2 linked regions of the Drosophila melanogaster genome follow. The protein of the gene in region 2 interacts with the protein of the main gene of each other region in a biochemical or structural test. Each region holds a gene or a part of one and is shown on either strand. Other genes may lie near its edges.

Region 1 (4,621 bases), on a different chromosome or scaffold from region 2:
GGTTACATGTCCCATAGAACGCAGACTGTTGTATGACATATTCAGCCGTGTTAGGTTTACAGCCAGACAGGGCAAAGCAGCGGGGATACTGGTGAAGAGGTTATTTGCTATATTTAAGCTACTTAGCTGGGAGGAGCCCACACCAGCTGTCTTTCCATCGCCTAAATCTTGTTCATGCTGCCACTTCATGTCATTATCGGTTATGTCCAAAGTAGCCGACCATAGATTGCGATGGGTGAGACGTTGCTGAGTCACATTTCGCGGTTTGTTTGATGGCGGCTCCTCAAAAGATTGCAGATTCAATTTGTCTAGGCTCAGCAGCGAACTGCTAGTTTGCATTGGCGGCACAGGAAGATCCCGCAATAGGTTGAAGGCCACATTAAGTTCGCGCAACTTGGGTGCACGCCACAGGTCGAAGGGAAGCTGTTGCAGTTTGTTATTTGAAACATCCAATATAGATAGGGCGGGCAGGTGAAAGATGGCGGCTGGCAGCGTAGTTAACTGGTTGTCTTGTAGAAAGAGTTCATCCAGTACCGGACACCCATATGTCTGGCCTATTGGTGCAGGTAGATCGGTTATCTTGTTTTGCGCCACATTTAAATACCTTAAATGAAGGACTAATATAATTCTTGAAAAACTTATTACTTTGTCTTTACTAACCTTAGGCTAACCAAATGGAAAAGCTCCTGTGGAATTGACGTGAGAACGTTGTGCGAGAAATCTATTCGCGTGATAGCTGTCAGAGCAACCTCATTAAGTCGCGGATGCGACTGTAGCTTAGGATTCAGCAGCAACACACCGCTGACCATCCAGGGAACCCTTACAACAGACAACTGGACACTGGAGCCCATGCTGTGCCAGTCAATAATGGTTGGATTGTTGGGGAACATAGCACTGTAAGATATGTTGCTGGTGGACGGCAAAAACACGTTCACCTCCACTGGTGTGGGAAGACCCTTCTTGTTGATCTTGTAGTCTGAGTCCGGATGGACTCGTCGGGCCAAAAGACGACTCAGGATGGCCTCGTCGCCGCATGTAATAGCCATTCCAATGGCCGTGCCATTATCGTCGCGGGCTCCATGCTTAAGCAAGAGATCCAACATAGCCAGCGACCTTTGCTTGCAGGCCTCTGCAATGGGGACATTACTGAGCCCATATATTTCCTCGCAACATTTCGGGTCGTTGTGATCCTCAACTGGCTTGGCTACAATATTCGGATTTGCGCCGTGCTGTAGCAGAGACTGCACCACGTCTAGGTGGCCGCCTCGAACGGCCGCAAGCAGAGCTGTTTCTCTCGCCGCTCCACATAGCAGATTCACGTTAATGGGACACCGTTGGCACTCGGTTGACTCTTGTGAAGCTAGGTCGTCGGGTCCTTCTGACTCTCCAGATATGTGCAGTTTGGACATGATAGCCTGAATGCCAAATGAAATACGTTTCCTGGTGGGCGTAATAGGAGTGCTCACCGAGCTGGCGGAATCGCCCAACGTACGCCGGCAATGGAGCTGCCACTTTAGAAGCACACCAACCAGCTGCTTGTTTCCTAGGATGCTGGCAATATACAGACTCGTCTGACCCGTCACATCATGAGCGTTAGCGTCGAAGGGGAGCCGCCATTCCCACTGGCCCTCCTCGTCGCGATATGTCTGGTAGAGGTAGTCGGGATAACTGTAGCTGATAAGGAGTTCCAGCAGCTTGATGTGTCCATTGATGCAGGCGGCGTGCAGCGGCAGCCAGCGCTCTACAGTCGGCTGCTGGATCAGTTCTGGAAAATGGTCTAGCATCAGTCGGGCAATGCCCAAGTGACCGCTATGGACGGCGGCGTACAAGGGTGAGTACTTGGTCACGGCATGGGAGCGACCATCCGCTCCAGCATCCAGCAATCGCTGTGTAATGCTCTCGTAACCAGACTGGCAGGCTCTAAAACGAGACCGATATTAGTTTGGCTCAAAATGGACTAATTCTAAAAGACTTTTTCTCACAGGAATAGAAGGGTGTTTGCTCCTGAAGGAGCCATATTGACTATAATCTGACGCTCAGTTCCAAGAGCTGCCAGCAGCACCCGCACAGTCCGCTCATCGCCAGAGATCACTGCCGTTCGCAGCTCCCCGTGCTTGATCTGACGCACTTCCTCGCGGGCATCTGTGAAAGATAAGTTTTGCTTGGTTAACTAATACACAGCACCTTTGGAATAAACCAATTCCCACCCCGTATTGAGGATGCCTCAATGACCTCATCCACGAAGTAGTCACAGGCTTCCAGAGCTGTTTCAGTTCCAGTTTTGGGATGTTCCATGCTGAATTTCCATGACATTATGTAACCCAAATCGGTGCGAATAAGCCCCAAAAATTAATTGGCATCGGTATGATGACCGAACGCGCCGCTAGCAAAAACTGAACTGCGGAAAATCGATGGCCACGTTTTTGTGGTCATTGATCCAGGCCGTTTTATGTCGCACTGCGCAAGTCGGAGCCCAAGAAGCGCGGCAACTGTTGCACTTGTTCAAGAATGTGGCATTGGGTGAGTGCGTGGCATTTGTTTTGATTTGTCTCTTCGTGGGTGTCGGATGGTCCAGTGGTTGCACCAGTTGCTTCTGTGGGGGGTGGCTGTTTGAAAAAAGTTTTTGCGCGCCCACTTCCATTGCACCAATGTCACCCTGTGCCCTTGCTGGTGTTGTTGAAAAACCAATAACAACTGGTTGAAGTTTTAATTGCACCACTTAGGTAATTTGCATAGTCAAGCGTATAATGCTCATTTGCACTCTGACTAAATTTGCGCAAAACTAGCATATTGTGCATAATTTCACTAAAAGTTGTGTTATCTCACCTTCGTCGGAGTCGCTCATTGTTTTGGTTTGTGTACTTCACGAGATATCCAAGTCATGCATGGTATGTGTTAAATGGGTAGTTGTTATGGTCCGATTAACCAGTAGCACCTTTTACTGACCCTTACTTAATTATTTTGCACATTTTGCGAAATTTTCACTTTGTTTACCTTTTTGTCAACAAACAGTGTAACCTCTTACTGTTTTAGAATATATCTCCTCATTTTGGCACGATATGCTGTTAAGCGCTCTGTGTGACCGAAATATCGCAAGTGAATGCTGTTAATCAGTGTCGCACGCAGGGGGCTTCGTACTTTTCTCCAAAGATTAAAGCCAGCTTAATAACTAAATCATAATCTACCCAAAATCATTGATTTTTATGTCCATTGGCTTAAATTTATAAATTAAAATTAATTTAACAAGGCCGAACAAGTATTTGGAAGACGCATTTATTATTTTTATTCATACACATCTAAAAATTTGTTCCCAAGTGAAATATTTGAAATCCCAACTGATGCTGAAATATCTCATTTCTGATAGCATACATATATAAATACCAAAACGCGATAAGGTGGTCATCGTTTCTGTTACTTTGCACTGCTTGTCAACTCAACAACAGTAATATCGATATTATTTAAATCAGTTAAGCAGTGAATCACTATCGACTGTTACTTTTTGTTGAATTTTATTTTGTATGCTATGATTTTATCTAAAAGAATTTGATTCTTAGGAACTGTTAATTATTTTTATTTATTTTTTTTTTAACATGCAATTTCCTGTTATGACTGTTTACGAACAAGAATTTATTAGCACCGTGTATTTGTGTATATTTTATAAATACTGATGCCAACTGTAACCTATATCGATATAACAATCGAATGAAACACTATCGATATTAACCAGCGCCAGCCTAGAACGCCCTGTGTTCAACAGGAGTCACCCTGTGTTCGTTAACAGACGCTTAACAGCACGATCTCAACAATACAAATAAAAACAATTTAATATTCCTTAATCGAACACAAATTTGAGCCGATTGCACGGTGCGTTTGAAAAATAACAATACCGCGGAATGGCCGACAGAGGCCAACTGAAGGTGCCGGTGCAGAGAATCAAGTAAGGAGCAGCGTAAACTGCGCAGCTCACACCCAAAAAAAAATCGCTATAAAGGCGAGGGCTGGCCAAAATGGAAGCAAAAAACAAAAACAAACGAGCTGCGCCACAATGCAAGTGAAACTTCGATGAAAACTTGCCAATCCGTGTGCTTTTCAAGACTTTTCTGACTGTCTGCAATTTCCATTTTTGTGGCATCGCGACTTAGAGATGAGACATCGGTGCCGCGTAACTTTTTTATACCCTTTCCGCGGTATCAACTCCACCCGTTCGGTCACGGAATTTGAACATTTGGCTCTGAAATATGCCTTAATGGCTTAGATTTTCATTATGGAAACTTTTCTTTCAACGGCCATATCGAATTCGTTATAAATCCTGCTTACTTCAGTCATTCAACTGCCTAAAATTGCAAAAAAAAACACGTAAGGGCATTCATAGGTCGCCTTGGCTGACCCTGAATTCTTGTTTTTGTTTTCAAGTTGACCCCTCCCACCCCCAGCCAACAACTTATGACTGTGTGATTCATACTAAATAAAAGTCAGCGTTTTTGTTTTAATTAACAAGAACCGACGATTTTAGAGGCTGCTTTTCTATTTTATCCCATGTGGTAAAGGGCGGTTAGAACCAACTCAGTTTTACAGTGCATCAATGGATGTTATCCAGATCTCTGATCATCTCGAGGGCAAA
Region 2 (3,414 bases):
GACCACAAGGGATCGGTCTATCTGAACGAACATGTGCTCAGCACACTACTTTTGTATATATAAGAAAAATGGTAAAGGGCGGGGCGGGGGCCAAAGGCGAGGTCGTTTCCCAACTGCGCAGTTTCTTAAAGATCTATTTTTTTGTGGCGTTTGTTTGCCGGTTTTTGGATACATTATAAATATGTATGCATATCTTTGCAATAAGTGGGACACGCGCTGCTGGGGCCACTGACTGACTGGCTAACTAAAAAGCCGGCCGGTATTTCCAGCTGTCTAACATGTGTACCGCCCCCCAAAAAGCCCCCTTTCGCTAAATTTCTTCGTAAACAGTTCAAACAGTTCAACAAACTGCCGAAAATACTACTAAACCGAAACTGACTCAAGGTGAAGTGGAAAGTGTTCTATCACATAACGCGTGGCCTGCCAAGGTTGAATTGCCGATAAAGAAAGTAATTTGGCACTGAATTTCTCAAACATAAATTAAAATTTATAATTGTAAATTGGCAGCTACTGAATCCCAATGGAAGGTGTGGTTCTCTTTTAAATAATGTGTGCCTTTTTTTTATTGCATTTTACTTAAGATCTACGATTTTACAAGGTAACGGGGTCAATATGACCGAGAGAACAAACAAGGTGGAAGAACTAAGAACTTAGCATCTAGTTAATGGGTACACTAAGCTTATAAGATCGGTTTTAGTGGGTGCATCTAAGAACTAGTTGGATTTGGCAGTTGCTGCATGGCGGTGTACACGCCACACCCCCTACAGATCCAGTTGGAACTGTTCCTGGTCCTCAATCTTCAGCGACTTGGTCTGCTTGATCAGTTCCGTGGGGACGGGCACGCACTTGCGGAAGGGAGTACGCGGAGTTCCCCTCAGCAAGCAACTGGGCACGTTGGACGGCGGAGTTTGGCTCAATGGGGAGCCACGGAGATTCTTCATGAAAGCCCGCTCGTAGATAAGTTTGGTGCCTGGAATTATAGGAAAGCGGAAATTTTTATTAGTCAAGGTGGTCTGCGTTGCATCAGAAAGGTATTCAAAGTTCCCCACTGATAAGCCAGCTGAGTAAACGCTTCTTTGCCGCGCTACTCTGAGTCACGAACTGTGGAACATGTGCTCGGGATTATCTTCCAACTGACTGACTCGGCGAGATGGCCCAGTTTCATCAGCCAAAAAATGGTGAGTGAGTTTTACAAAAATAATGTATCACAACTCAAACAAAAGCTTGTTTGTTGTTTGAGCAAAGGAAAGAAACGGTATACTTGTTTATGTTTTCGAAATATGTTGATTAATTTCATCTTGATATCATATCTAATGATAAGAAAATCACTCCACTTTCCGGAAGGAACTTAATAATACTCGATGTAGTCTCAGCTTCCAATTTTCGAAACTTACCTCCAGGAGTGGTGGAGTAGAGGGTTCCGCCGGGCGTCGAGGAGTACACCTCGGGCATCTGGATCGGATCCGAGATGACAACCTTCCTGGTGATCATGGGCAGGGCCTGGGTGATGGCTTGACGGGCGGTGGGTGAAGCGGACATCTTAGCTGATTGATTGGATTGGTTTCGAAAACTTTCCGCTGGACGTGTAAGCACACTCGATATGGCTGCGACAATTTGATTGTTTACACAAACTGCGTTGTTTGTATTTCGTTGCTTGTATCAGCTATAGAGCTTGTGTGGCTGCTATGTGTTCACCGTTGGCTGTTCGCTAGGCGATTGCTGGCGGTATTACGAAGTGTGGCTCTATTTATACCCCCCCATTCTTACTCTCTCTCGCTCTCTTCTCGCTCTTTCGCCTGCTCTCTCGCCTGATTATTCTGCTTGGTCGGCTGATGTTTTTTGTTTTTATCTGGTGTATTTTCTGCGTAGTTTATGACAAACCGGCTGGTTCTTGTTGTTATTGCCGTATTCTAATATATTCCCCTATTGTTCTTATTTTTGTTGCAGCCTGCACACCTCGGAGGTTCTAGATGATAAGGGGTGTAGCGATGGTGGGGGGCTGTCTTGAGGGGCTTCTCGCCTTGAGCTCTTGTTTATCTTTGGTCATTTGTTATTGTTTAATGCACGGCAATATTATTGGTAAACAAGTTAGCCAACAGCACTAAACGCCAATCGCATTCTTTTCTAAAAACCAAGTCTATTGTCGATCTTGCTAGGGAAATGATGATGACTCAGGTGCAATTGGGATCTTATCTATGGCTGTCTGGGAGTCAAGAGGTGTTCCGCAGAATTTCGTGAAGTACTGCCGCTCTCTCCATGGGGCCATTATTTTGCACTCGTTTTCGCGAAATACCATTAATTAGCATAAAGACACGTCGCCGGCAATCGTGACGTAGGCTATGAGTGCCTTCTATGCATGTGCGAACTCGCGGAGCATAGCAATTTGAGCAACGATATTGCAGGTTTTTATGGGCTAAAAGATACCCAGCATTTCACTTTTTTTCAGGCGGAAAGTGTTCATTATTATCTGGCACGAGCCGTTTTGAAATAATTATCACGAAAAGATACACGTCTTACATAACTTACTTGCTTTATTTACTTAGATATGCAATTTTAGCGTGATTTCTATATTTAGGAGTGCACAATCCAAAAGTACGCTTAGCTCATATCAAAATTTAACTTGACTGATATGAAACATACATATTTAATATCTTTTCTTTGGCACATTGACTTCTTAGCCGTTTAATATTAGCGCACATATCTAAAGAAATACATATATCATATCACCAAATTTGGTGATCGAACCCTTATTAGTTCCCAAGTTCTTTGAGGTGGAATATCTTGTTTGGAATCAAACTAATATGCCCCACTGATCGCAGCAAGCATAGGGTGGATCCAAGCAGCGGCACGAGCGGTTTTAGCTATGCGGGGGCGATGTTGACGATATTTAATCGTTGGACGCATGTAAATAGTGCTACAGGAACTTTTGCCTACGTTGGCGCCCACGATTCGACGTAATTCGGATATTGGCCACGGGCCATTCCGAGGGATATGGGGTTGACAAAAGGTGGCCACGTGTGTTGATCTGCGGCGATCATGATCTCGATGTGGGACAGGGGATGGCGCCCACCTAGAAATCTGCACAAGGTCGATACTTAAGCGTGCTAATATTTATGATGGCTAAATGGGGAAGCTTGACAGACCTTGAAAGTAGATTTCCATGTGACGAGGAGCATATTTGAATTGGGGAAAGCATGACCCAAATCCATCAATTACACTAGATGGGGGTGGGAGTTAGCTGGGTGCCAACTGACCCCCAAAGTAGTAAACGGTAAACAAGGGAGCCAGAACACGAAAAACACGGACAATTTTGCCGTGTCATCTAGCACGTAGTCCACAGCATAGAAACCGCCCTACGTGCCGGCTGATATGTTTATATATTTTATTTTTTGGGTGAGAGAGCGGCTCTTCTCC

What was found. Proteins that work in one complex are often made in the same cells at the same time.
Region 1: of the proteins of Thor (region 2) and Lrrk, one has a biochemical effect on the other in vitro, tested with the Drosophila melanogaster proteins (2 studies listed by BioGRID).

What each region holds. Positions count from the first base shown.
Region 1 is NT_033777.3:20,633,862-20,638,482, reverse strand, and holds the start of Lrrk (Leucine-rich repeat kinase), read right to left. Parts: upstream 3,004-4,621; 5' UTR 2,846-3,003; coding exon 2,827-2,845; intron 2,668-2,826; coding exon 2,395-2,667; intron 2,385-2,394; exon of another isoform or gene 2,296-2,384; coding exon of another isoform or gene 2,208-2,295; intron 2,143-2,207; coding exon 1,983-2,142; intron 1,921-1,982; coding exon 661-1,920; intron 605-660; coding exon 1-604.
Region 2 is NT_033779.5:3,476,741-3,480,154, reverse strand, and holds Thor (thor), read right to left. Parts: upstream 1,722-3,414; 5' UTR 1,540-1,721; coding exon 1,395-1,539; intron 971-1,394; coding exon 762-970; 3' UTR 543-761; downstream 1-542. UniProt on the Drosophila melanogaster protein: Repressor of translation initiation that regulates eIF4E1 activity by preventing its assembly into the eIF4F complex. Hypophosphorylated form competes with eIF4G1 and strongly binds to eIF4E1, leading to repress translation.